Linked DNA regions of Callithrix jacchus. The protein of the gene in region 6 interacts with the protein of the main gene of each other region in a biochemical or structural test. Links are inferred from orthologs where the notes say so. Each region holds a gene or a part of one and is shown on either strand. Other genes may lie near its edges.

What was found.
Region 1: the proteins of TBP (region 6) and GTF2F1 form a complex in vitro, tested with the Homo sapiens proteins (3 studies listed by BioGRID, with this or other methods). The link is inferred for Callithrix jacchus from reciprocal best matches to the Homo sapiens genes TBP and GTF2F1.
Region 2: the proteins of TBP (region 6) and DRAP1 are reported together in a solved structure, tested with the Homo sapiens proteins (2 studies listed by BioGRID, with this or other methods). The link is inferred for Callithrix jacchus from reciprocal best matches to the Homo sapiens genes TBP and DRAP1.
Region 3: the proteins of TBP (region 6) and E2F1 form a complex in vitro, tested with the Homo sapiens proteins (2 studies listed by BioGRID). The link is inferred for Callithrix jacchus from reciprocal best matches to the Homo sapiens genes TBP and E2F1.
Region 4: the proteins of TBP (region 6) and BTAF1 form a complex in vitro, tested with the Homo sapiens proteins (2 studies listed by BioGRID). The link is inferred for Callithrix jacchus from reciprocal best matches to the Homo sapiens genes TBP and BTAF1.
Region 5: the proteins of TBP (region 6) and AHR form a complex in vitro, tested with the Homo sapiens proteins (2 studies listed by BioGRID). The link is inferred for Callithrix jacchus from reciprocal best matches to the Homo sapiens genes TBP and AHR.
Region 7: the proteins of TBP (region 6) and MSX1 form a complex in vitro, tested with the Homo sapiens proteins (2 studies listed by BioGRID). The link is inferred for Callithrix jacchus from reciprocal best matches to the Homo sapiens genes TBP and MSX1.

What each region holds. Positions count from the first base shown.
Region 1 is NC_133523.1:6,031,203-6,035,266, forward strand, and holds the start of GTF2F1 (general transcription factor IIF subunit 1), read right to left. Parts: upstream 2,801-4,064; 5' UTR 2,647-2,800; coding exon 2,635-2,646; intron 2,551-2,634; coding exon 2,504-2,550; intron 1,694-2,503; coding exon 1,621-1,693; intron 1-1,620. UniProt on the Homo sapiens protein: TFIIF is a general transcription initiation factor that binds to RNA polymerase II and helps to recruit it to the initiation complex in collaboration with TFIIB. It promotes transcription elongation.
Region 2 is NC_133511.1:122,996,277-123,000,115, forward strand, and holds DRAP1 (dr1-associated corepressor), read left to right. Parts: upstream 1-1,234; 5' UTR 1,235-1,310; coding exon 1,311-1,352; intron 1,353-1,590; coding exon 1,591-1,663; intron 1,664-1,759; coding exon 1,760-1,853; intron 1,854-2,114; coding exon 2,115-2,234; intron 2,235-2,340; coding exon 2,341-2,434; intron 2,435-2,654; coding exon 2,655-2,743; intron 2,744-3,097; coding exon 3,098-3,203; 3' UTR 3,204-3,339; downstream 3,340-3,839. Other genes in the region: C10H11orf68 (UPF0696 protein C11orf68 homolog), read right to left, coding at 1-76, 639-997. UniProt on the Homo sapiens protein: The association of the DR1/DRAP1 heterodimer with TBP results in a functional repression of both activated and basal transcription of class II genes.
Region 3 is NC_133506.1:5,612,543-5,616,730, reverse strand, and holds the start of E2F1 (transcription factor E2F1), read right to left. Parts: upstream 2,801-4,188; 5' UTR 2,682-2,800; coding exon 2,421-2,681; intron 1-2,420. UniProt on the Homo sapiens protein: Transcription activator that binds DNA cooperatively with DP proteins through the E2 recognition site, 5'-TTTC[CG]CGC-3' found in the promoter region of a number of genes whose products are involved in cell cycle regulation or in DNA replication.
Region 4 is NC_133513.1:84,694,990-84,698,938, reverse strand, and holds the start of BTAF1 (TATA-binding protein-associated factor 172), read right to left. Parts: upstream 2,801-3,949; 5' UTR 2,752-2,800; coding exon of another isoform or gene 2,715-2,751; 5' UTR 2,494-2,714; coding exon 2,480-2,493; intron 1-2,479. Other genes in the region: FGFBP3 (fibroblast growth factor-binding protein 3), read left to right, coding at 2,715-2,751. UniProt on the Homo sapiens protein: Regulates transcription in association with TATA binding protein (TBP). Removes TBP from the TATA box in an ATP-dependent manner.
Region 5 is NC_133512.1:41,107,986-41,111,485, forward strand, and holds part of AHR (aryl hydrocarbon receptor), read right to left. Parts: intron 2,849-3,500; coding exon 2,646-2,848; intron 2,065-2,645; coding exon 1,955-2,064; intron 1,285-1,954; coding exon 1,143-1,284; intron 1-1,142. UniProt on the Homo sapiens protein: Ligand-activated transcription factor that enables cells to adapt to changing conditions by sensing compounds from the environment, diet, microbiome and cellular metabolism, and which plays important roles in development, immunity and cancer.
Region 6 is NC_133505.1:177,177,943-177,181,978, reverse strand, and holds the start of TBP (TATA-box-binding protein), read right to left. Parts: upstream 2,801-4,036; 5' UTR 2,706-2,800; intron 2,552-2,705; exon of another isoform or gene 2,185-2,551; intron 309-2,184; exon of another isoform or gene 306-308; 5' UTR 158-305; coding exon 104-157; intron 1-103. Other genes in the region: PSMB1 (proteasome subunit beta type-1), read left to right, coding at 3,833-3,945. UniProt on the Homo sapiens protein: The TFIID basal transcription factor complex plays a major role in the initiation of RNA polymerase II (Pol II)-dependent transcription.
Region 7 is NC_133504.1:185,060,189-185,064,255, reverse strand, and holds the start of MSX1 (homeobox protein MSX-1), read right to left. Parts: upstream 2,801-4,067; 5' UTR 2,567-2,800; coding exon 2,098-2,566; intron 1-2,097. UniProt on the Homo sapiens protein: Acts as a transcriptional repressor. Capable of transcription autoinactivation.

The DNA.
Region 1 (4,064 bases), on a different chromosome or scaffold from region 6:
GAAAATAAAGCGACCGGGCGCGGTGGCTCAAGCCTGTAATCCCAGCACTTTGGGAGGCCGAGGCGGGTGGATCACGAGGTCAAGAGATTGAGACCATCCTGGTCAACATGGTGAAACCCCGTCTCTACTAAAAATGCAAAAAATTAGCTGGGCACGGTGGCACGTGCCTGTAATCCCAGCTACTCATGAGGCTGAGGCAGGAGAATTGCCTGAACCCAGGAGGCGGAGGTTGCGGTGAGCCGAGATCGCGCTGCACTCCAGCCTGGGTAACAAGAGCAAAACTCCGTCTCAAAAAAAAAAAGAAAAAAAGAAAGAAAGAAAATAAAAAGGTCAGGCACAGTGGCTCACACCTGTAATCCCAGCACTTTCAGAGGCCAAGGTGGGTGGATCACCTGAGGTCAGGAGTTCGAGACCAGTCTGACCAACATGGTGTAACCCCATCTCTACCAAAAATACAAAAATTAGGTGGGAGTGGGGGTGGGCACCTGTAATCCCAGCTACATGAGAGACTAAGGCAAGAGAATGGCTTGAACCTGGGAGTTGAAGGTTGCAGTGAGCTGAGGTCGTGCCATTGCACTCCATCCTGGGCAACAAAAGTGAAACACCATCACAAAAAAATAAATTTAAATAAATAAAAAGAAATTCATTGTGCCAAACTTGTTGACAGTAAGACACCAAAATCTCTAAAATGTAACCATTAATCATGACCTATGTGGCCAATAAGGTCCCAATTACCCTTAAGCTCTTGCTTCAAGGTCCATATGTACCATTTCCAAAACACTCTAGAATCCAGCCACATCTCATCACCTTCACGGCCTCCACATCCCCAGGCCAGGACTCACCTAGACCAGTCAGCCCAGTTGCTTCCACCCTGTTCTCCCTTTATCCGCCCTCAAACCCACAGTTTGCCTCCCCACAGCAGCCAGATCACAATACAACTTCCCCGTGGAGGATGCTTTAATGGCTCCCACAGTCCTTTCTAGAGCCTCTGATGGCAGGGGCTCTGGGGAAGGCCCTAGCCCAGTCCCCTCCCTCAGCCAGATAAACCTTGGCAAAAATGGCCATCAGTGGGCACAACTTCTAAATGTTCTCCATTAAGGAATGGCCTCCTGTGGTCCTACTAAACGTAACTTACAGGGACACCCAGGAGCTTGGCCTGGGCCTTTGCCATCTTTTTTTTTTTTTTTTTTTTTTTTTGAGACAGGTCTTACTCTGTCACCAGGCTGGAGTGCAGTAGTGTAATCATAGCTCACTGCAGCCTTCAACTCCTGGGGTCAAGTGATCCTCCTACCTCAGCCTCCTGTGCAGGACTACAGATGCACACTACCACATCCAGCTAATTATTTTATTTTTGGTAGAGATAGGGTCTTGCTATATTGCCCAGGCTGGTCTTGAACTCCTGGCCTTAGGCAAGCCTCCTGCCTTGGCCTCCCAAGTGCTAAGATTACAGGTACAAACTACTGCACCCAACTCTTTGTCATCTACCTTATCTCCACTTGGGAAAAGTGAGAAAATTAAGACTTAGTTACTATGACAGCTAAGCAACTATTACAACCACCAAGGTCAGGGTCAGGTTCTCTCACCACCCCAGCCCCCGACCCCCAGGACCCAGGGACTTACCTGATTCCACGTGGCAAAGTTGACTTTATCAGCTGCATTAAAAGCCATGATGTTATATTTTTTGGTTGTATTCCTAGAGTGGATTAGAAGAGATAGAGCCAATCCAATACATCAATTCAATTCAATCATTAATTTAATCAATCAATGTGAACACATCATTAATTCAATCAAATCATTAATTCGATCGTTCCATTCAACTGAACCATTAATTCAAGCATTCCATTCCACTGAATCATTAATTCAGTCACTCAACAAACCCACCCTGGTTCATTCAGTCTGTTTTGCCTGTCAACACTGGATACGGAAGACTGCAGGAATCCCAGTCTGCCAGAGAAGCTAGACCCCATCCCCTCTTAACTGCGTGCAGACGAAGAACAAATGGAGGAACAAAGATTGGGAGAAACCCAAGATGTGGAGATTATTGGGAACTCAGCCTTGGGGAGGAGGGAGGTCAGTCAGGGAGTGCTTCCTGGAGGAAGATGATACTGGAGCTGAGTTTTGCAGAATCAACAAGAATTCACCCAACAGAGTCACCGTTTGGGGGCTGAGGGGAGGCACTCATGGCAGAGGGAACGGGATGTACAAAGGCCTGGAAAGGAAAGGCAGCCTGCTCGCTTTGAAAGAGGACGAGACAGCCTGGGCATCATATGCTCTCGAACGTTAGGCCAGGAGGCTGAATCGTGCTGTGTATTAATGCACTCATTCATACAAAAAGCAGTGTTTGCCTCCAGAGAAGCCTCAGCTTAATCGCAGCCCTGCCCTCCAAGTCCCCCGGTCTGGAGGGAGAACCACAGACAGGGCCAGAAACGTCAGGCTAAGAGGACCGTAAAGGTTTTCACTTTTGCGGGGTGGAGAGGAGTGGGAGATGGGGTAGGGGATTTACTTCGGAACTCGAACGACGTATTCAGTGACATTCTGGCTGCTGGGGCCCTGCGGAAAGAGGAAGCGGACGGTGAGTAAGGTGCCGCCGAGGTCGCCGCCGGGACCCCCGAACCCCGCCAAATCCACACTCACTAGGGCCGCCATGGGCAATGGTCAGTGGTTCCGTGGTCCGACCCGGGTTCCTTTCTTCTCCTCTGGCTAGCGCGTCCCTCGATCTCGGGGAAGCCGCCGTTCCTTGTCGGGTCTCTGTTCCGGTCCCCGTGTGAGGATTCCTACCCTAGGCGCCTCTGGCACTGGGAAAGGGTAACCGGAAGAGGCGTTCAGGTTATTCCGTCTACGCCTCCGCGGCCGCCTAACCCGGAAGCTAAACCCTCCAGCGGCCGCGTCGCGATGGCAACCTTCTAAGCGGCTGTGGCTACCTCAATGCGCCGTCACTTATGTTCCTCGGCGTCTATGGCCACCTCAAAAGAGCCACCCCTGCCCCTTTTCAGACGCAACAAGGCCGAGTCTGAGATCAAATAACCGGCCTTGGTCGCTGATGCTCCTATGTACAGTGCGGTCATCAAATGTGGGACCGCCCTCCTTCGTGACGTCAGCACCCAAGGACCGCAGGGCATCCTGGGTGGGAAGAAGGAAGCTAGTCCTCCTTGCGGGCTCCCAGGCGCTTTGCGCATGCGTCATGCCGCTCGGGACTTTGGGGCTTGGAAGGCCGCGTCACCATAGCAACTGAGGCCTACTCGGGTCCAGTCGAACTGCCGCTTGGCTCCCTATGGGCCTGTTTGGGGTTCGTTTCCTCTACCTGCCCAGAAGGGGTGGACCCCGTCATTCCCGCAAAATGACCGGAGCGGGGACCCTTGTGACGTTGAGCCGAGCCAGGAGGGGTCAGAGCCTGCCCGGAATCGGGGCGCGACCACCCCAAGGGCTGCTGGCGGGATGGGTCTCTGCAAGTCCAAGCTGCCCCAAATGGGCAGGGCTCTGAGGCCCCCGGAGAAGAGTAACGTCGTGGGGGTGGCTGGCTGGCTTACTGGGGGGAAGGGAAGGAGGCTGCAGAGGACGGGAGGGAGGTGCAAGTTCCCCTACCCCATTCCAGGCGTGCACACACCCCTCAAGCCTGGCAGTAACACAATTGCGCATGCTCACAGCACAACCATTCATTGCTCTAGTTCGGAAATACTCAAGCACGCTGCTGGGTTCCGGGCTCCGCCAGGTGAATATATCAAACCAGCTCTCTGTCCTCTGCGGGTTACAGTGTCGTGGCGGAGACTCATAAAATGGGAATCTACAACCCAGGAAGGAGCAGGAGAAGCACAGCGGGGCTCTGAGGGCTCAGAGAAGACGGGAGGTTTCAGTTGGCCACTGAGGGATGCATAGGAGTTGTAGGCTACGCAGAGGGAAGGGGAACAAGACATGTCTGGTTTCATTTATTCCTCATCCACTAAATGTCAAGAACTGCCAACTCCTCGGAATGTAGGAGTGAGAGAGGCAGAAGTAGTCTGGGGTGTAAACTTTTTAATTCCTGTAGTGGGTTAGTGTAGGGGGTAGACCCCATAAGTTCTGGGGAG
Region 2 (3,839 bases), on a different chromosome or scaffold from region 6:
GTGCTCAGCGGTGAAGCCATCCTCACGGCCACCTGGAGAGTCCTCCTCTTCTAGCTCCTCACCTGGTTCCATCCTGCTGTGAGCGAACCGAAACAAGGCGGAGTCAGAGACAATAACTACAGGTGCTAGGCACGGGATTAAACTGTGGCCTTGGGTAAGAGTTACTGTCGATGCGCCTCAGTTGCCTCATCTTTACAATGGGCTAACAACTGTTCCTGTCCCGTAGATCCGTTGTGAAAATTAGATACCTGAGGAGTGAGAGCTCCAGAAGGGTTGCTACAGTTATTACTATTCTCCTTGACTTATAGACAAGGAAACTGAGGCTCAGAGATAAAGGACTTGCCCAAGGTCACGCCCGTAGTGTGTGACAGAGCCAAAAGGTGAAGCCAGGCGTGGGAGCATTGCCTCAGCTACACCTCCCCGCCCCACCAAGGTCCCCTTTTCCGGCAGGTATCCGGAGCGCTAGCATTTAATGGAGGGAGGTAGAGAAGCGCACGTTCGCGCAGCTCCCGAGGCCGGCTCTGTTGGGCCAGGCCTCCTGGGCAGGCGTCGTCCGGCCCAGTTAAAGACGAAGACACTGAGGCCCAGAGAGGGCGCGAGCCGGTCCGAGGCCAATGGGGCAGTGCCCGGACTCGAACCTGGGCTTGTTAGAGCCTGCAGGAGCGCAGGCTCCGGCCTTGCCGCGCCTGCCGCCATTAGCGCCCACGGCCCGAGCTGCGCCCCCGCCCCGGCCCCGCCCCTCCCACCGCCCGCAGTCACCTCCGGCCTTCGCTGCGTTCGACGCCGACCCAGCCCCGGGCCCGGCTCCGCTCCTGCCGGGATTCCGCGCCACCGCCGCCGCGCCCCGCCCCCGCCACGGCCGCCGCTGCCGCCGCCGCCATCTTAGCGCCGCGCAGCCACGGGGCGGGGCCGCCGGCCACAGCGGCGCACCGCTGGGCGGGGCCGACAGGGGAAGGGGCGGGGCCTGCGGGGAGGTGTCGCTCGGGGGCGGGGCCATCGCGGGAACCCGGGGAGGGGCGGGCCGCGGGGGGCGGGGCCAACGTTCGCTCTTCTGGCCTTGGGGGCGGGCGGGAGCGGCGGTCTAGACCCCGGACGGACGCGTACCGTCCGGGAGGCTCCAAGCAGAGGGCACTAGGGCCCGGCGAGCGGCGTCTTAACCGGCGGCGCTAGGACCCCTCGGGAAGCAGCGGGGGCGGAGCGGGCGGCACCAGGACCCGGGGGAACCGCGGCGGGCGGGCGGCGAGCAGGCCCGGGAACCGGGAGGCTGCGGGCGGCGGCGCTGGACCTGACGCGGAGAGAGAGGCCCCGAGATGCCGAGCAAGAAGAAGAAGTACAACGCGCGGTTCCCGCCGGTGAGCACGTGGCAGAGTCCGGCAGGAGTGGGCCCTGCTCCCGGGAGGCTTAGGCCCAGTTCCCGCTGGGGAGGCGGGCGCGGCGCGGTGTTCGGGGGCCTGGACGCCCCGCCCCCTCTGTGCCCTCCCCGCGTCCGCGTCCCCCGCCCCTTTTCTCCGGGGATGCCCCTTCCTCCCCAAGCATCCCCTTCGGGGACGGAGGCGACGGGGTCTGAACTCTCTGCTCGCCCACCTGCAGGCGCGGATCAAGAAGATCATGCAGACGGACGAAGAGATTGGGAAGGTAGCGGCGGCAGTGCCTGTCATCATCTGTATCCTGCCGGGAGCTTGCCGGGTCGAGGGGCGTAGGGGAGGGAGGCAGCAGGTCGCCCTCTCCCGCCCCCCGCGTTCTCCTTGACGCCCCTCAGCCCGGGCGCTCGAGCTCTTCCTAGAGTCGCTGTTGAAGAAGGCCTGCCAGGTGACCCAGTCCCGAAACGCCAAGACCATGACCACATCCCACCTGTGAGCGGCGGGGCTGGCGCGGGAAGTTCACGTGCGGAGGGAGGCAGAGCCTGGATAGCGAGGGAGGTGGGCGGCGGCCGGGACACCAGCGAAGCCTCAGAGTGGTGGAGGGTCTGGACGTCCAGACAGAGGGAGCCACCCGAGCAAAGGAGGGCAGCCCCGGGGGTGGTGATGGGGCCTGGGCTCCAGTCTGACATCCGGGGCCCCTTGCTGTCACTCGCTGAGAGGGTCTGGGTGCCAGCCCCTCCCCACCTCTTCTAGGAAGCAGTGCATCGAGCTGGAGCAGCAGTTTGACTTCTTGAAAGACTTGGTGGCATCTGTGCCCGACATGCAGGGAGACGGGGAGGACAACCACATGGATGGGGAAAAGGGCCCCCGCAGGTGCAGCCAGGGCCTGGCATACAGTGGGGAAGGCCAAGGCCACAGGGCTGGGGGGAGGCTGAGGAGTAGGGAGACCTCTGGGCAGATGGACTGTACCTTCCCAAAGGGGCCGGAAGCCAGGCAGTGGCAGCCGAAAGAACGGTGGGATGGGAACGAAAAGCAAGGACAAGAAGCTGTCTGGGACAGACTCGGAGCAGGAGGTGAGTGAGGCCCCAACCCTTCGGCCTGCCCTTGGTGATGGGACTGGCAGCCTCGCCTCAGACTGAACCAGCTGGAGGCCAGCTCTCGTCCTTTTCTGTGACCTCTTTGTACCCCAGTTTCTTTGTAAATTGGGGCTATGAGGTCTCCTGCTGTCTCTGCCACTTCTGGTGATGGGCTCATGCCATTTCTTGTCAACTCTGATCTCTGCGGTGCTCACAGGATGAATCTGAGGACACAGACACTGACGGAGAAGAGGAGACATTGCAACCCCCACCCCAGGCCAGCCACCCCCCTGCCCACTTTCAGAGGTGAGCAGCCCAGAGGCACGGGAGGGTGCTGGCAGACTCCCCAGAGCCAGCTCACCCCTCCTGCTTTTCCTGACTCCTTGGTCTTGCTGATTGTGGCAGATTTGGGGGTGGGAGGAGAATAACTGAGGAGGGCTTGAAGGCAGGAGACTGTTCTTCCGAAAGATCCTGTCCCACTCTGCCAGCGCCTATGGGTGGAGCCTGGGCCTGCCCTGCCTGAACTGCCCTGAGCCTTGGTCCCATGCATCTGGAGGGTGGTGGTGGGAGGGAGGATGGGGGAGGGAAGGTCTTGGCAGCTGCCCCTGTGGAGGACAGGTGAGGCTCAGGCCTGACTCCCCCCTGCCTTCTGCCCTACAGCCCCCCGACACCTTTCCTGCCCTTCGCCTCTACTCTGCCTTTGCCCCCAGCGCCCCCAGGCCCCTCAGCACCAGACGCAGAGGATGAAGAGGATTACGACTCCTAGCGCCCTCCGCCCCCCAGGCAATAGCCCCTTTTAGTTGGTTTTAGTTGCTCTGGGGGGAGGAGGGAAGGTACAGCTGTTCTTGAATTTATTAAAAAAATTAATAAAAGGGAATCATCAGTGTCTGTCCCAGGCTCTCTGCAGGATGTCATGGTTGCTGTCCCATCCCCCCACCTGCCTTCCCCACAAGAAACTGGGAGCTGGGCCTGGGTCACTGGCAGGTGAAGCGGTAGTGAGCGAGGGAGGTGTCAGCTGGGGAGGCTGGAGGCCCCGGCTGTGCTGAGCGGCACCAGGGCTGCTGACCGACTGAAGGGAGGTGGGAGAGCTTGCAGGTGCTGGGCACTCGGGGGACATTGCTGACTCCCGGCAGGCTGCTGCCCTGCCCTGAGCAGCCTCTTGTCTCTGATGGAGACCTTTCTGCCCACTGTAGGCTGCTGTGAAGGGATAAGTGAGTGGGTTTGGGGAGAGGATTGAGGTCACTTTTTTTAAATTTGAGATGGAGTCGCTCTTTTACCCAGGCTGGAGTGCAGTGGTGTGATCTCGGCTCACTGCAGCTTCCACTTCCCGGGTTCAAGAGATTCTCCTGCCTCAGCCTCCCAAGTAGCTGGGATTACAGGTGCCCTCCACCACTCCTGTCTA
Region 3 (4,188 bases), on a different chromosome or scaffold from region 6:
GCAAGACCCTGTCTCTACTAAAAATACAAAAATTAGCTGGGTGTGGTGGTATGTGCCTGCAATCCCACCTACTTGGGAGGCCAAGGCACAGAATATCTTGAACTCCGGAGGTGGAGGTTGCAGTGAGCCCTGATCACACCACTGTACTCCAGCCTGCATAACAGAATGAGACTCTGTCTCCAAAAAAAAAAAACAGTTAAGTTTTCTACAGTAAACATGTATTATGTTTAAAATATTTGAGTTTGTGGAAGTGGACAGGCAGGACCAAGAGAAATGGCTGAATTGCACAGAGCCTGGTATACAGTGTTCAACGAATGCCTGCTGGTACAGAAGCTAAGTCTGTAGCTTATTCCAGGGACTGTGCCAGACAAATGCCAGTGCAGAGAGGCCAAAAGCCGAACCTGTGGACCTTCTGGACTTCAGCTCCAGTCTCCTGCCCCTAAGTACAGAAAACACCTCCTGGCCCTGAAGGACTCTGAGGGTGGGGCTCCTTTTCTCTGAGCCTAGTGCCTCCTAGGCATTCACTAACTCAACAACTGTTGAATGAATGGAATGCCCGGGCCAATAAGCCTGCCCCTGACAGGTAGAGTGGAGGGCACTCTTCTTTGCCCCGTTTCTCCTTCTGATCCTAGAATCCATAATCCTGTTCAGTTCCTTGAGGACAAGACCCTCAGGTTCTGTTAGGTTTCCACAGACCTGAGCCTGCTATATGCTTGTCACACAGCTGAATGGAGGATGCTTGCCCAGGTCCCAAGCACTACCCACAGGGACAAACCCCCGGAGTACAGGAGACAAGCCACCTGGCCCACCCCTCCCACCCACTCATTAAGATGAAGGGCCCCCAAAAGCCCTTCCTGCCCTTTCTTCAGCCTCTATCAGCATCCCTAGAAAGCAATGCATCCCAGAGGTCAACCTCACAGGAAATACAGATTCAACCCCCCGCTCAATAGCAGAATGACATGGGAAGATTCTAGTATTTCTAGGCCTCAGCTTCCCAATCTGTAAAAAGGGATTGCTGCTGATGGGGTTAAATGAGTTAATTAGGTAAAGCTCTTGGCAGAGCCTGGCACATAAGACATCCTCAAAACAATGGTGGCTGCTATTGTTATTATTATTAGCATCGTGGTGATTCCGGAAGGCAGCACTGGGCATGAGGCCAAGGGGGTGGGGGAGCCCCTTTAGATGCCTCAGGGACCAGCTGCTACCCTCACCCCCATCAGCAGTTAGGCAGCTTCTACCTCCTAGTCCTAAGCCCTGCCTCACCCCTCCCACTTGCTCCAAGCTCCCTGCTGAGACCCCATCCTGCTTGACCAGCCCCTGCCTGCACATCAGAGCCCCACCTTCACCCATAGGCTGCGCCAGTCAAACTGGTCTCCACACCCTGTACTGCAGCCCACAGGTCCCAGCTCCAGGCTTCTACGCCTCCAATCCCTTCTCCCACTGTAATTCAGCCACCTCTTCTGGGCACCACCCCCCCCCCACCCCCCGCCCCGTCTGAACTGGTCTTGAGCTCAGCACTCAGGGACGGCTTTATTAAAGGATCTCCCTGGGACATTTTCTCTCCTGGCACTGGGGGCCTCCTCTCCAGCTCCCAGAGGCCCAGCCCACCTAGTTCTTCTACAGAGGCTCAGGGGTCTGTCTGTCTGATTAATGAGGTTCCATGGCAACCAGGGCCTGGGAGGGTGGAGGGTGGCAGATGGAAGGACAGGCAGAGGGAGGAGATCAGCAGCTGGTCCAGCTGCCCCGCCCCTGCAGAGAAGGCCTCCCAGCCAGGAGGGCTGTCCCCAGAGGCCTGGCCGGCCAGTCCTGCACCTGGCAGTCAGCATCGAGGCAGGAAGGAGGGTCTCCTCAGTGGCTCACCAACGGTTAAGCCCCAGGACCTTCCTCGCCCCGCCTTCACTTCCCCTAGCAGCTGTGTTCACTACCGAGATGCAAATTCTGATCTGAAGCCAGCAGGCCGCAGTTCAAATCCCAGCCCCGCCACCTGCAGCCGTGTGACCAGGGGCAAGTCACTGTCCCTCTCTGGGCCTCAGTCCTCCTCCGTCAGCTGGGCACAGTGACAACACGGCTTACAGCAGGGTTGTGAGTTTCAGCTGGCTTGAAGTCGGCCGAGGCCTGGCGTGCAATAAACGCCAGTTGAATACACGTGGGCCATTATTATCATTGAGTCCGACGCTGGGGAGGCTTTAGTGAGGAAGCTCAGGCCCAGAGCAGAGGAGCAAACAGGGACCGGCCCGAGGTCACCCCGCACCCCAGGGCGGAGCCTGGAGGCACAAGCCAGGCTCTGCACCGCCCAGCCTGGGTGCCTCAGTCCACCCCTCCCCCGCCCCCTGCCGCCTCCAGGCCAAACACAGCACCCGCCCAGGTCTGCTCAGGGGGCACAGGCAGTGCTGCCGGCGCGGCGTCCCTGGGGTCCGTACCGGCGGGCGGCCGAGCGCGGGGCGCGGCGCGCTGGGTGTGGGCCGGGGCGCCTGCGGAGTGGCGAAGAGCAGCAGGTCGGGGTCGCACGGGCCGGCGGCGGGCGCCGCGGGGCCAGCTGGGGCCGGCGGGACGCTGGCGTCCTGTGCGGCGGAGATGATGACGATCTGCGAGGAGTCGAGCAGCCGCAGCGCGCCGGCCCCGAGCAGGGCCTCCAGCGCCGGCGCGCATGGGCCGCCCGCAGGGGCCCCGGCCAAAGCCATGGCGCTCACGGCCCGCGCGGCCCGGGTGACAGGCGGCGGCGGCGGCGCGGGCCCATGGCGGCAGGCCCCAGCAAGGGCTCCATCCCGCTCCGCCCCCGGCCGCCGCTGCCTGCAAAGTCCCGGCCACTTTTACGCGCCAAATCCTTTTTGCCGCGAAAGAGCCACGAGCCGCCGAGCGCCGCCACGATTGGCTGCCCGGGCCGTGACGAAGTCGACGGCAGCGGCTCCTATTGGCTATAGCGCGCCGGACCGGCGGCGACGGGAGGGATGGGGCGGCGGCGCGGGGCGGCGCGGGGCGGCGCGGCCAATGGCGGGGCGGGGCGCGCGCAGGCTTTGTCCAGACAGTGCCAGGCGCGGTCGGACTCCCCGCCCCCAGGCCGAGCGTCCCCTGCCGGAGGCGTGGGGACACTGGAACATGGCCCCGCCCCGACGCTCCCGCATCCCACTGACCTTTCTATAGTGCAGGTTCAGGACAGAGCCTCTGTTCACGCGACCCTCAACCTGTAGCCCCCACAACCTCAGCCCACATCTCCAGAAACTGCCCCCTCTTCTTTTCGGGATCATCAGTTCCACAGCCCAGCCATCAGCCACCTCTCCTATCCTCAACTTACCACACCCATGACATTATCCTAACCCTGCACCCAGCCCTATCCCACTCACCCAAAGCCCAAGCTGAAGAGCGGTACCAGGAAATGAGGAGGGACGACCCGCCAGATATTAGCCTGGGGCTTTCCTGCAAGTCCCATTTTAGCCAAAATCTACAATGGCCAAGTAAAGCGTCTGCTTGAACTAATTCATTCCCTCACTCATTCAACAAACGTCAGGAGAGCCTGCTCTGTGCCCATCCTTAACTCTGTGCCCCCATCCTTAATTCGTGGCCCTAAGGAGCTCACAGTCTACTGGATAGGGGACAGAGAGGTAACAGACGTTTACAATAGGATGAAGCATTGGTCCAGAGCGGTGGCTCATGCCTGGAATCACTATAATCAACGGGCAGGGTGGATCTCTTGAGCCCAGGAGTTTGAGACCAGCCTGAGCAACATGGTGAAACCCTTCTCTACAAAAAATACAAAAATTAGCCAGGCGTGGTGGTGTCCATCTGTAGTTCCAGCTACTTGGGAGGCTGAGGTGGGAGGATTGCTTGAGTCCGAGAAATGAAGGCTGCAGTGAGCTATGATCATGCCACTGCACTCCAGCCTGGGCAACAGAGCAAGATCCTGTCTCTAAAACAAAACAAAAACAAAACACATCACTTCTTCTAGGGACCCCTCCCAAGGATCTACTCACTTCCTCTATTGCCCACTGCTGCCTCTGTTCCAACACTGACCACACATTTCTCCATCTGCCTCCCCTGCCAATCTAGAAGCTCAGTAGCGCTTCCTCCCAACACTGGCCTGACCCAGAGCAGGCACTGAGAAAGGTTATAAAAGAACCAGAGGCATGGCGGGGCACGGTGACTCACACCTGTAATCCCAGCACTTTGGGAGGCTGAGGAGGGCAGATCACC
Region 4 (3,949 bases), on a different chromosome or scaffold from region 6:
TCACTGCAATCTTCACCTCCGGGTTTCAAGTGTTTCTCCTGCTTCAGCCTCCCTCAGCCTGGGGCAGAGTATAATCCCAAACTGGATTACAGACGTGAGCCACCACACCCAGTCTCAAATTTCTGGATGAGGGAATAGTGATACTAATTTACTATTTCCCATCTGTTGGAAATTTTGTTGGAAATGTCCTAAAAATATTATAGTTTCTCTTCAGTTATGCATATGAAATAAACAGTGTAAAAAGTATTTTAGATTTGATTTTGCCAGATGATTATTATCTCCTGGACTATTTTCCACCAATTTTACATAAAATAGTATTAAATGAGTCTGCATTCCACAAGCATACACCAACAGGAGAGAAAGAAAGTTTCGTTAGCACAGAACTGTGCTTCATGCATGGAGAAGGCCAGCTTGAAACTAAAATTTGCCATGCAAAGAAATCCGCAGATGAAAAAGTCAAGAATTGACACTACCCCCAAAACACACACAGTGTCTCAAAATGTTTTCCTTGGGCTTACTAGTAAGCCCAAGGAAACTAAGCACAGAAATAGCTCTTTCATAAAAACATGACAGGCTTTTTAAAAAGTGAACAAGGAAAAAAAAAATCTACAGAAAAAGAGTGCTACTCTTTGAAACACAATATTCAGAACAAAAGACAGTGCCTTCAAAACCCACTCAGTCATTCAGAAATATTCAGTTTCCTAAACTTCTGTAAAGAGATTAGTGTTACACGAAGATTAGGTTCTTTTTAAACACTTTAATTTTGTCTTTATAAGCTACATCCAATCCTGTGAAAATACACAGCTTGTTCTAAGAAAGGAAGTACTCATCTCCTTAAACACTGTATTACATGACAAATGTTATATTAAGTTTATATATCAATGCATTTACAATGTATATATTCATGTATTTATACAGGAGGTAACAAATTAGAAGATATGGCCTGGCTTGGTGGCAATCTTAGCACTTTAGGAGGCAGAGGTGGGTGGATCACAAGGTCAGGAGTTTGAGACCAGCCTGGCCAACATGGTGAAACCCCATCTCTACTAAAAATACAAAAAAAAAAATTAGTTGCATATGGTGGTGGGCACCTATAATCCCAGCTACTAGGGAGGCTGAGGCAGGAGAATCACTTGAACCCGGGAAGTGGAGGTTGCAGTGAGCTGAGATTGTGCCACTGCACTCCAGCCTGAGTGACAGAGCTAGATTCCGTCTCAAATATATAGATAAATAAATAAGAAAACATACCTTTCTATATATACCTTTCTATATCTGCAAAAATGTAAAATGTCACTTGTATTCTCTTAAGGCAGTTTAATTTTTTTTTAAAGAATTTCCTTACATTAAATAGATTAATCTATATAACAAAAATTAGATGCCCCATACTACAGGTACCTAGCAACCCCCTTCAGCCAACTCTCATGGGCTTCTCCCACACAGTTTCATCAGTCATCTAGGGAGTCTGTAAGGAATGGGTTATCCTTTCCCTTGCAAAACAGATAAAATTTGCGCACTTAAAATGCTCAAAGAATGTGATCAGTTAATTATAAAAAATGAATGAAAACTAATTGTTTTCATCATTTATTCCTTCAGTCTATATGATAGAAGAACCCAATTCTCATTAAAAGTTACCTTAACAACTCTAAAGAACTTGGTGAATCCACCCCATCACTATCACTGAGGAACTATCCCTTAATCACATGTACATAGGGCCACCAAAATCCACTTACAAAAGTTTTCCAACCATTCTATCATACTGGAGGAAAGAAGAATGTTTCTCCTATAGCTATACAAATGAATGTCTTATTAGTTTTTCTATAGTTTTCCCGGGCTTTCCTGTTGACAGGCAGTATTGCCAAAGAATACAAGATTTGTGATTTATCTTTCACCCCTTAGCTAAGGAAGATGATGCTAATACGATAATTTGCTTAAGGTTACAACGCTGACGTTGGAATATTTACTGCCAAACAAAAGGAGAAATTATACTTAATTTTAAAAAATAGCTCAGGAAAGAACATGCCCCTAAAACGTAAATTAAAATTGTTAACATAATTAGACGGTCTCTTAGATAACAGTAATTCAGGTTTCCCCTCAATCGACAGTAACTACCAAGTTTTCCCATGAAATGGAGGTTAGGGACCAGCCTTAGAATACAGAGAAAGATAAGAGACTTACTCTCCTAGAACCGAAAGAGGGAAGAGAAACCAGAGAACAGAAACATGGTGAGGAGAGAAAAACCAGCTCTAACGTGCCAAGGGGTCTATTTAACAAGAAAAAAGGCATTCTTGAGCCAATTTACCCAGGGGTAACCCGAGCCCCAAACCCCCTCCGACCACGGGGCGAACTCCGAAGTCTACTGAAGAAAGCGCCGGAGCCCAGTGACAATGAGAGCCGCTCCTCTCTACGACTGAGGGCGCTGAGAGGAGACCGTGCCTTGCCTGAGCGGCCTTCACGTTCGCTCGTTAGGAGCAAGACCCACCTGGAGACCGCCATAGCCGGGCGCCGGCGGTTCGGAGCTCCGTGCGACCTACGCGCCGCGCAGCTGAGGCGCTAGTTTCCAGTGAGCGAAACGGTGAAGGTCCAGGCCGCGAAGCACAAGGGAGCGGCCGCTGCGGCGCGGGGAGTTCCAGCTCAGGCCCTCGGGCATCTGCCCTGCCGCCTACCCGAGCTCGTACCCGCAGCAGCCAGGGAGCAGGGGTCCAACACCGTAGCGGATGCGGCAGTCCTCCGACCCGCACGACTTCAAACCGGGTACCCCAAGCTCCGCTCTTTGCTGACGCAGGCGTCGGCACGCAGAACTGAGCGTCAGCGCGCCGGACGTGACGTAAGCTCACCGCCAGGGGCTCCGCTCTGCGTGAGCGCCTTTAGTTTGGTGACACGCGCTTAAGTAAAAGCGGTTTGTACTGATATGGAGAGGATCTCCAGTCTTAAAAGTAGGGAAGTAGGTGAACTAAGGGTCCCTTTGTTTGACAGAGAAGGAAAAAGCCGATTTAGCCAAAGTCCTGGGACTTTAAAACCTTGATTTCTAATTCCATACCAACCAGTCTCCTTCCCACCAAACTGCTTCTAGGGAAGCAAGATCAGAAGGCCCTTAATTAAGATGCTCTTGTTCAGGTGGTGAAGCCAGTGGGCGGAGTGAACGAAAGAAAAATCTGCTATGACGCTGAGGAAATGGCTTAGATGTTTGCCATTATTTGCCAGAAGTTCTGCATAGGTACTGGAGAGAAGCTCTTCTGACCAACGATTTGCCCAAGTTGGATTTCTCAATTGTTTATGTTGTTCATAGTATTATTTTCTTAGCCAGATTTGAAAACTCACGTTTTAAAATTTTTGTTCTTTTTTGGGGGCTTATCTGGCTTTTCAATAGTTTTAAGTTCATTAGGCTTTTAAACACTTCTGCTACCTAGTGCAGGTCCTTATCATCTTAAACTTGTTTTTTTTTTTTCTTTGAAATAGAGTTTTGCTCTGTTGCCCAGGCTGGAGTGCAGCAGCATGATCTCGGCTCACTGCAACCTCCGCTTCCGGGGTTCAAGCAATTCTATATGTGCCTCAACCTCTGAAGTAACTGGGATTACAGGCACGTGCCACCACACCCTGCCAATTTTTTGTATTTTTTTAGTAGAGGTGGGGTGTCGCCATGTTGGCTAGGCTGGTCTCCCGCCCCTGGCCTCAAGTGATCCGCCCGCCTCTGCCTCCCAAAGTGCTAGGATTACAAGTGCGAGCCACTGTGCCGGGCCCTTAAACTTGATTTTTATGCTAGTAGTCAAAATAATATTTCTCTAATTTTCAATTTAGTCCTTTTTATAGGCCACCAACAGATTAATCTTAGAAAAAAAAAAAAAACTCACTGCTTTATCATGTTGCTCCTATGCTTATAAAGCATGTCCATTGCTTCTCATTACCTGTAGAGGCTGTGTCTCAATCCTTGAGTCTGTTTTTCGTCTGTAAA
Region 5 (3,500 bases), on a different chromosome or scaffold from region 6:
ATAATTAAAATGACAAACAAATGTGTACACTAGAAAAAAAAAATCAATCAACCAAAATTTGGATCTTAATAAAGACTAATAAAATCTAACCTAAAAAAAACTGCCTTCTAGAAACATTGATCAAGGGAGAAGGGACAAATTTGTAGAGGTACACACACACCCATGCACGCATATACATACATACACACATACGCCTGTACTTCCATGGGTACTTACAAACATACACATTCACCATGCTCATGGGTTCAAAGGCTCAGTATTAAAAAGATGTTAATTCTCCCCAAATGATCTACAGTTTCAATGTAATCCCACTCAAAATCTCAACAGATTTTCAGACAACTGCTTTCTAAAATGTATGTGGAATTATAAAGGGCAAAAAAGAGCCAAGGCAATCTTGAACAACAACCAAAAAAAGGCAAAACAAACAAAATGAAGACACAGTCAGACATCGAAATGTATAATAAAGAGAGAATAAGACAGTGTAATGCTGGTACAAAATAGACAACTACATCAATGGAACTATTACAGGACGACAGAATCCAGAGAGAGAACAACAGACAAAATCCCCTGATTAAAATACAGTGCAGTGGGGAAAAGATGACCTTTTCAGTAAAGCATCTTTTCAATGTTCCTGGTCAACTGGGTACACATATAAGGGCTGGGGAGAGTCAATCTTAATCCTTACCTCAAGCCACAGACAAAAGTCAATTCTCCAGAATGGAAGAAAACATTTGCAATACAAATATTTGACAAAAGACTCATTTGCAGCATATATAAGAAACTCTTAAAATCACTGCTATATTTACAGAACATATTCTAAAAAAAAAATTGTTATATTTTTCTTTTATATTACCAATGACATTAGCTTTTCATATGCTCAGGATAAAACCCTAGAGTGTTCTTTTAATATTCTTTAAATATTAGCTCTATTGATCACCTGCACAGGTAGGTGACCAATAAAGTTTGTCAATTGTATCTTCTCAATGTCTCTCACATGTGCTCTCCTTACTAAACAAATTACATTAACTTTTCAATTTTTATTTCCAGACTAAATTCTGATTGAATTATTTTTATGCGTTCACATAAGAGGACTTATGAAAACAACACTGATAACAGAAACAGAAAACATTCTTTGTGCTTACGTTAGCGGTCTCTGAGTTGCAATGATATAATCCGGTCTTCCATTTTTATAAAGCAAGCGTGCATTAGACTGGACCCATGCCCATCGATTGTTTTTTGTAAGAAGTCGGAAAACTATCATGCCACTTTCTCCAGTCTTAATCACTAAAATAAAATTTAAAAAGTACATTATGAAACTCCAAATCAATATATTGAAGGATATTCCTAAAAACAAAGCTCTTGTGACATAGCTCTGGATGTATTTTCTTTATTCCCAAAGACAGTAAGTTTTAAACACAAAATATGATTAGGCATAGAAATAGTTTTTTGGAGTTGTTTTTTTCCCCCATTTCAGACTAAATTTATTATTTTAAATGTTAGAGGAAAGATTACATACTAGACAATTCTAGTAACACAGGAAAGTATAGAGAGAGCAGAAATTGGGGAAAAAAGATTAAAACATTTTCATTTTAAATAGGGGATGTTTTCCTACAGCCTAATATTTTATAATTTTAAAGTAGAATTATTAACACTATTATTGTTAAAATATTAACATAGATTTATGAATTGATAATGATGTAACTGAAGAATTCCCAAGCAAAATTTCATGGGCCACAATGGTCATTTTTCAGTCACTAAGCTACAATATTTCTGGGTGGCAGGTATAGACAAGTTAATGAACAGAGTGTAACCCTGGTTAATCATAATGATACATTACTAAGTAGAAGTTTATCCATATAGTTTACTTAAACATGTTATATTACATATTTTGAAACACGTACTACAGCGTATGCTGGTTTTTTTCCTGACATGTTCATAAGGAACTATGACTTACTCCGGATATGGGACTCAGCACAATAAAGCATATCAGCAGCATGAAGAAACTGATATCCTGATCCTCTTGTGCACAGCTCTGCTTCAGTATATCCTAAAACAATTCTTCCCCTGTTTAAAATAAAGGTAAAATAAAAATGAACTTATATTTAACATAAATGAAATAACCAAGATAAATTCACTGTTTTTATGCTAGTTTCTGCCAAATGTGTTAATTCACAGTTAGAATTTCACATGAGTAAGTAGATGTGAAATTAAACACATCTATGTAAATCGCTCTTCTCTGCTTATGGCCGCAAATTTCAGTCTCAGCCTACTTTCTTTTCCTGAATAAAACCATGGAAATCAGTAAGCTAAAAATGAATCTAATAGAGCAGATGTATGGGTAACAGAAAATCTTTAATAACATTTGTGCCATTTAAAAATGTAAAAGAAACCAACAATAAATGTCATCAGAACAAATTTTACAAATATATAAGAACATCATCATTTGAGACAAGTAGTGCAAAAAATTAAAAGGATGATTTGTGAGCCTGATGAAATTATTTTACTTTAAAAGCCTACACTGAAATAGCCAATCTAATAATAAACAATATTACATACAGTCTACACTGTATGTTTTACATGCTAAGAGAGACTTACTGAAACATAATGTACATCCAATAAAACAGAAGTGAAAAAGTCTCACTTACTTGGCATCACAACCAATAGGTGTGAAGTCTAGTTTGTGTTTAGTTCTAAAGATAAAATTTTTGGTCCGGATTTCAAGTATGGACGGTGGCTGAAGTGGAGTAGCTATTGCAAACAAAGCCAACTGAGGTGGAAGGATTGATCCATCTTTCCCTTTCTTTTTTTGCCCATGAAGATACTTTAACCTCCCTTGGAAATTCATTGCCTTAAAAAAACAAAAAAGCAAAAAAAGTTAATTAAAATTAACAATATAAAATAGTTCCTTTTTAAAAGGCTCCATTATGGCTGCCTCTAGGGTTCTTGATAATTCCACAAATGTTCCTGGAACTGAGAATGGTTAGTTTCTTTCACTCCTCTCTCCACGGGAACGTCATTAAAACTATCCCAACGTGTAGTATGAGAAATATTGTAAGGGGATAAGTGAAGCACTCCTTGTTTCTAATGGTCATAGCATGAATACCTGTATCATTTTCCGAGCTTGCCATTACCCTATCATTTTCACCTCGCACAGCTCCTTGCACACCAGGCAATCAATATATCCTTAATGGTGATAAGGTCCTGAAGCAAACACTCATTTTCAAGCACACATGAACTATATCACAGCTCATAGCATATTGCATAGTTCAGAGTAATGTTTTCTATAGAGACAAAATATAATTTTATTAAAACACTAAAATGAATCATCATGAAAACATATAAAGAATGCAGAGCTCTACTGAGCAAAGATATAGAAGAAATTTAGAGGTCAGGGAAAACAAAGGTGATTTAAACATGAACATGATATATTTATTTGGTTAAAACAGTATCAATCAGTCCAAGGGATGATTCTGACATCAAACTAATAGCAGCACAAGGAG
Region 6 (4,036 bases):
TCAAAAACAGATCATTAAATACCCTTCCTTCCCTTTGATACCATCTCTTGAAGTACATATTTCTGCCCTCCCTGTTCTCATTCTCTTCCTCCTGCTGTATTACCTGAGGGGAGGCCAAGCCCTGAGCGTAAGGTGGCAGGCTGTTGTTCTGATCCATGATGTTCACTTCCTTCTTGGCAAACCAGAAACCCTTGGGCTGGAACTTGTCTCACCATTCAATTTTTTCCTAGCGCATCTCCAGCACACTCTTCTCAGCAACTTCCTCAATTCCTTGGGTTATCTTCACACACCAAGAGACAGTGATGCTGCTTTGGAAAAAAGCCTGAAGTTTAATGTAAGGATTCAGGTAACCTGTACAGTCCTATAAGCCAGTTCCATGGCTATACAAAACACAAACAAGAAAACCAATGAAGCTATTTTGGAATACATTGCCTTTTGCTTTATAATCCTGAAGTCTTATTCCTTCCATGTTTCCTGTGATTACATGTAAAATCGCCAACAAAAGTCATTTTGTTACGCATTTAAATACTATGATGATGCATCAAAAACTTTTGAGGAAAAATACTGAGAGGAAACTAATTCCTAAGCAAACTGTAATATCACAGCAGAGTATTCGTTAAGCACTGTATATACAGCACAGTTAAGCAAAGTTCAGATCTTTATTCCAATTTTATATCCTCTATAATGTCTTGGGCAAAAAATTAAGTAAATATACTTCAGTGATCAGTTATTGAGCTCCTACTATAATAAAACTAAAAAAAAAAGCTGCACAAAGATAAAACCCTGCATTTTTGTAAATAATAACCTTACCTCTTTAGAACACATTAATGCAAACCGTGCCTGTTATCTGGCTTTTCTTAAATCATCATCTCTTTACTCATGTCCATATCTGAAATGAGTTTATAATAACAACATATTCTCACCCAGAACTTCAGGTCTCAAAGTTACAAATTATATGTCCAAAGACCCTTCAGGCATATGCACTTCAAGCATGTGCTGGTACACAATAGACACTCAGATATTTGTGAAGGAATGAAAGATTCTGAGGATCGCTTTGAAAGGGCTAAGGCCCCCAGACTCTGTATCCTACCTACTCATCACTGAAAAAATGGCCAAAAAAGAAAGCAAGCGAACTCTGCTTCTGAAAATAAAAATATCAGAGATGTTTTTAAAATTATACTTTTTGACAGTTACCGTATAATAACAATAACAGAAGTGATGCAGATGAGGATGTAAAGATTAGGAGGTTATAGTCCTTGGCATCAAAATGTTCAATATAAAGGGTATGCAAATCATTACTATAAAACATAGTATAATAGCAGGTGTGCCCTAAGCTAAGTTTCTTTTTTTTTTTTTTTTTTTTTTTTTGAGACGGAGTTTCGCTCTTGTTACCCAGGCTGGAGTGCAATGGCACGATCTCGGCTCACCGCAACCTCCGCCTCCTGGGTTCAGGCAATTCTTCTGCCTCAGCCTCCTGAGTAGCTGGGATTACAGACACACGCCACCACGCCCAACTAACTTTTTGTATTTTTAGTAGAGACGGGGTTTCACCATGTTGACCAGGATGGTCTCGATCTCTTGACCTCGTGATTCACCCGCCTCGGCCTCCCAAAGTGCTGGGATTACAGGCGTGAGCCACCGCGCCCGGCCAGCTAAGTTTCTTGAATGTAGAAACCAGTCTTTGTCATCCCTGCATCTAGCACTATGCCTGGAATACAGTATGTGATCATGAATAAGTGCATATATGCCCCTGGAAGAGAAGACATATAGACTAACAGCACACTACTATGAAGAGGGGCAGTGTTTTCACAAAACAAGGACCATCTAACTTGGGTCTCACAAGGTGAATAGGAATTTACAGGTCAGGGCTTCAGATAAACGAGGTAACATTGAAAAAGCATGCCGTATGAAGGTGACAAGCTTAGTATGACTGTATAGGTCACTACAGGAGATGAGACGGCAAATATTGGTAGGCTCTTATCACTTTTTGCACGTAAGTCTACAGAAGAAACCGCACAGTGGTTACTGCACTTTCTCCCTAGAAAAGGGTTGTTTGCTGGGTCTCTTCATCTCTTCGAAATTGAAACATCAAATTCGATATTTTTTGGAGGCAATCTAACTCTGCATAGCCTTCTAGTGTCTGTATATCTAAATGAAGCATAGTCTTTTCACAGAAAAGCCTACCTAGAGATTTGGAAAACCATGATGGCCTGAACCGAGAGATGGGAGGCCCTGTAAACAAAGTGATGTGTACTGTATCTTAAGCGCTACTGTGTCCGCTGTCTCAGGCTTCTGACAAAGTATTTAAGTCTCAATGTTGGTAGCAAAATAGGCGGGCACAGACCACAGTGAATCTGCCTTCAAACATGGAGAAGAAGCGGGTGGCAGGCCAGGGCAGAATAAACTTCGGGTCTTCGATGCAAGGGATTGCCCTGTCCCGCCCGCCGCCGCCGAGCCCGCCAGTACCCTGCGCCCCACGCTCGTATGACGGGAAGCCGCTTGCGAACCACAGCGGAATAGGGCACCAGGCGAAAGCGGCGGCCGAGTGGCCGTTACAGGCCGGAACGGCGGCAGCACGAGCGGGAGGAACGTCCCCTGCAGGGCCTGCGCGCGCCAATTCCTTGTCTCTTCCCCACCATCGCCCCCAGGCCTCAATGCAGTGGTCGCCTCCGCCCGAACCCTCAGAAAAGAGGACAAGCTGTTACCTGGGTCACTGCAGAAATTACTATGAGCCCGCGGAAACGAAGTTAAACAGCCGGCGGCCCAGGCGCCCGCCACAGGAACCCTGCCCGACCCCACTGAACTCCAGGCGCGCGTTGATAATGTCACTTCCGCCAGTTCTGCCCTCGGCTTCAGCGAATTGTTCTCACTGGGGTCGTGGCCATGCGAAGTGTGGGCACTTGCTCACTTCCTGTGTTTCCGTAGGCGTGTAGTTTAAGGGAAGGAGGGGCGAAGCTCTTGAGGAGTTCCGGGACTGGGCGGGCGCACCACCGCTGTCTCTAATTGGCCCTTGCTGGGCATAGGAAAGATCAATTTTTAAATGGTGTGTGTGTTTCAAGCAACTAGAGGCGTTACCGTTGGCAAGTTCCCTGACTTCTTCCCCGCAGTTTCTTCTGTAAAATTTAATAATGATGATACTAGTGCTTAACTTTGGGCTCTCTGGAGACTGACAGTCAATGCCTGAGCAGTGCCTGGCACTCAGTAAGCGCGTGCTCCTTACCTGTCAGCAACAACGCTAGCTGATCTTCAAGCGTGTAGAATGACTAGGAACACTAAGCAAAACACAAGCCGCTTCAGGCACTGTGGTCAAAGGCTCGATCCGCAGTTGTTTCCTAGTGGGACGTCAGCACGCCTTTATTTTACCTTCTATAGTTCGTTTTGGCGGAATCATATATTATACCGCTTGTTTCCTTTGGACTTTCTATTATCAGTGAGGTTGTGAGCTCTTTAAGGATAGGAAATGTTACATACATTTTGTATTAGCCAGGACAATTTAGGCTGTTACTATTATTCCAGTTGCCGTTGCTCCACAGTTTTGGCAAATTTTTGCACGGTCAGACTTTTAAAATTTTGTCCATATGGGTGAATTCCAATCTTTTCTTCGGGGGAAAAACAAAAAACAAAAACCTTAATATCTTTCTGGTAATGGGCAGGACCCAACTATGAAAGGGACTAGCGGCAGAGCAGCCCTCCAGGAGCAACGACTAGTGCGAGATAGAGAGGCCGGGAGCGAGTTACAGGAAAGCCGGAAGTGGCGTAACGTCCGGTCAGGGCGGCCATCTCGCCGTGAGGCAGCAGGAGTAGCGGCCGGAGTTGCGGGCGCTTCAGTGAGATGTTGTCCTCTACAGCCATGTATTCGGGTCCTGGCAGAGAGCTGGGAATGGAGCCGCACAGAGCTGCGGGACCTCTGCAGCTACGATTTTCGCCCTACGCTTTCAACGGAGGGTAAAAACCCTTGAGAGCCGCAGCTTTCACTTTCGCCCTCCCCCCATCTGCTGAAGCCTATTTGGGGGTCACCGCCGCGAAGGCGCTGCCC
Region 7 (4,067 bases), on a different chromosome or scaffold from region 6:
CCCCACAGGGAAGACGTTCCTACTTTTTGCAAATGAAGAAACGAAGATTCCAGGAGAAAAATACCCATGTTGAAGGCCCGTTGTCCACGTCTAAGGCCCAAGCAGCTGGGAAGAGGTAGAAGCGCCTTTGTAAAGCTGCCCTGCGACTTCGGAAGGCCTTCAAGGCGGGCCTCCTCCCACCGCCACGCAGAGGAAAGGTGGATGCTAACACAGGTGATGAAACATGCAGAAAGAGGCCCTGCACCCTGCCCAAGGCCACATTAAGTTTCACGCGTTGGCCAAACATATATCAGTACACACGGAATGCTTCAGTGCGGGGCTAGGCCGTTCTGTGGCATAGAATCTAGATCAAATTCTATACTTTCCCCTGGAACGCTGGGCTCCTATGTGATGGTAGGGGTAGTTCCCGCAGACTAGAGATGGAGCAGTGCAGACCTTCTTGGCGGGTGGGCTGTGGCCACCTCTTCTAGAAATTAGAAAGTGTCATCGGGAGTCGAGGACCTGGGGCTGCTTTATTCTAAAGGGCTTTTTTCTTTGGATTGTTTCACTCTTCTGTTGGATTGCATTCACCCCTGGCGCCAGGGCCCTCTGGCCCCACTCAAACGTGTGTGTGTGTGTGTGTGTGTGTGTGTGTGTGTGTATGTTGGTGGGGGCGGGGGTTGAGATCGCCTCTCCCCTCGAACTGTGGCAAAGTCAGCAGACACCAACATGCCCAGCTGTCTTTTTCTTTTGCCTTCAAAATAAACCTCAAGGGTGGGCAGTGAGGAAGCAGAGCACAGGACCAGTGCAACGGGGTCCGCTGGGCACTGTCCCCGGATGAAACGTGGAACAAAATATTCCCAAGAGGGCTGGGATCACTTTGACTTTGGGGTCTTGGGGCCTAAGGCCCTAAGCGTTGGAAAGGACACTTTCCCTATGCAGTAGTTTTCCTGGCAGAAAGTGAATTCAAACTGAGGATGTTACACCACACGGGTTTTGCTTAAGTCCGCATTTTTCACACTCTTTTAAAAATCAGCAACAACCAACAAAGAAAACCCGATCCTTTGGACTCTCAGATCACCAGGATGTGAGTCAAACGAAATCTCGTGTTAACACCCCGCTTCTTCCCCGCCAGAGGCCACCGGGAGTCCGGGAAGCGCTTGGCCCCCAACTCGCTTTCCGCCTGGCCGCCCGAGGGGCAGGCGCCGAGAGAAACGTCACTCCCTTCGGCGGCAACAACCCAGCGCAGGGCCACCTTCTCCGACCATTAGGCTCAGGGAGGGACTGGCCTTTCAAAGACGTTTAATCCGCAGATAAAAATCATTCCTCAGCAACACGCCATTGATTTCTGGCTGCTATTATGCCGAGCAAAATAATCGGAGGAAACGAGGAAAACTTGGGAATTTCCCGTGCTCCTGAAATATCTCCAGGCGTGTTCTCTGAGTAGAGCAGCCAGGGGGCCGTGAGGCATTGGAACCACAGCCCGAACTCGCCGTGGGCACCTGGAGTCCGCTTTAACGGCTCAGTTCGTGGTTCCGACAGGATTAGCGGGGGCGCCTTCCCCTAACTGACTTGGTGCCCCGCCCCCTCCACTGAAACCTGAAGGTCCCCACCCCTGAATCATCCATCTACCCAAAGCACTAACTATCTGCCTCAAACTCGAAGGGCGGGGGGAGGTGGAATTCTGTTGGAGCTTCGGAACCTCTAGGCAAAGAGATATTTGCAAAGGATGAGGGGCTAGGGGACACCAGGTCCTACTGGCAGAAAGTGAAACTCCGTGTGCAGGGAAGATGTCCGCACCACACACATTCATCTGCTGGGGTGACGGCGAGGAAACAGAGTTTGGAACCAGATGAGGGATCATGGACTCTGGGGTCGTTTGGTGGGGACAGGAGGACAGGGTGCCCAGACATCGGTGTCCCGTCCGTTAACTCCCACCCGCAGCTTCTCTGGCCAAGGCGAGGAGGTCTGGAACCTTCTTCCTGGGTGGGAGTGGAGGGAGGCGCAAAACCCGGCCTTGCAACCCACGGCTCCTTAACACCAGCTCCAGGTACGCAGATGCCGCAGGCCCGCACCCCGTCCGGCCCCTCCCTCGGCGCCTGGGTTCTGGCTACTTACTGGCTGGCGGCGGGGAGAATCGGGGACTCTGCATCCACGGAGTCCTCTCGGGCTTCTCGGGGCTCTCGGCTTTGACGAGCGCATCTTCTGGCAGCTTAAGGAGTCCTCCCACCGAGAAATGGCCGAGCGGCCGCGGCGAAGAAGGAGCGTCCGGGGCGCCCAGCGACCCGGGCGGGACGCCCAAGGGCTGAGCCAAGCCACCCGCCGCCTGCGCGCTCTCGGAGGCCGCTAGGGAGCTCTCCTTGGCCCCTGGCTTCCTGTGGTCGGCCATGAGCGCCTCCACGCTGAAAGGCAGGAGCGAAGGGGACACTTTGGGCTTGGCTCCCTCCTCGTCCGCGCCCATGGCGGCCGCCGTGGCCGCGGCGGCGCCGGGGGCCTGGCCCGAGCCTCCCCCCGCCGGCTTGCCGAAGGCGGAGTCCTCCACTTTGACACCGAGTGGCAAAGAAGTCATGTCAGCACTCGGGGCCATGCAGAGCCGGGCCCCCCTCCTGCCGCAGCACGGGCCAGCCTCCGGGCATGGGCTTCGGGCGGGCTGGGAGCGCGGCCGGCCTCTAGGAGCGCCCGGGGTCCTGGCCGGGCGGACCCTCCCGCGCGCACCTCCCGCTCCTCCCCAGCAGGCCCGCTCCGGCGCGCCGGGCCTGGCTCGGGATCACCGCCGCTGCGCAGGCCGAGTTCCCGGGAGCACTAGCCCGCTCCGGGTCCCGCCGCCGCTCTCCTGAGAACTTGCTAATAAGGCGAGGCCAGCGCGGCGGCGGCCAATCAGCGCGCGAGGGGGCGGGCCCGGAGCGATCCATTGGGCCGCGCTCCTAGGGACTCACCCGGAGGCGCGCTGGGCCTGGGGGCGCGCAGGGCAGTGCCGGGCCGGCGGAGGGCAGAGGCGGGGAGGGGGGTGCCCGGCAAACTTTCCTCGGCGCTGAGGCGCAGGCGGCCCCTCTCTGCGGGGGTCCCCCTGGGTCTCTATCTTTCTGTTTTCCCAGGGGATTTTCCCTTGTTCTCGCTCCTTCTCTTCTGCCCTCCTCTCTCCTCTCCTCCCCTCCTCGGCCGTCTTTTCCACTCTTCTTTTTTCTGCCCCATCCTTGTTTCTCTTCTTTACTGCTTCTTTACCTTTCTCTTTAGTCTGTGGCTGGGTTTCTCTGTCCCGCCTCTCCGCTATCTGACCTCCCACGTTCCTCTACCACACTAATTTGAGTTGAGGCCATTTCTTGCGCATTCCTTTTGTATTTTAAAAAACATGCATGACTATTTATCTTAGGAGAAATACATAGTATTAGTTTCTTTTGCAAAAATAAATAAATAAATAAATAAATAACCTTCATTTTCTTCCTGTGCTGAAATCTTCTAAACTTTACCTGGAGGTAAAACTGGGCCTTTGTCTCTAACTCAGAGCTGGAGTAAAGTTTGTGGGAAGAAGCCAGGTTTCTGTGGTGCTAAGGATGTGAGAATACATAAAATTATCGAGAATCTGGAGTCGGTTTTCAGACGCGACGCGTATTTTCACCCCACCTACCCCCACCCCACAACACCTATAGCGGCCGGCCAGGAAAAGGAGCTGCCGGATCCTTTTGATATAGAATTTACTGAAATAAAACCAACAGAAACGTCAACAAAACACTTGTCTGGCCTTAGCGTGACCTCAAACAACGCGTCCGCGGGAACAATAACAGGTCCCTATCTCTGGGTCGCTGATCCTGGAGGGGGAGAGGCACCTTTGGGGAAGGGGGCCAGGAAAAGAAGACAGTTCTTGGTGGTGGACTGCTGTGCGGAACTTGAGAACTTTTATTTTGCCATTTTTGGAGAAAACGTGATTTAGTTTGCTGTTAATTTAAAAAAAAAAAAAAAAAGGAAAAATGAGGCCGGGTCAGGGGAGTTGCAAGATCTATGCGAAGCGGGGTCGGGGCTTGGCCGTTTTCTGCGCCTGTCGCTTTATGGCCTTTCCTCCCGCGGCCCAGGCCAGCGGCTCTCAGGGAATC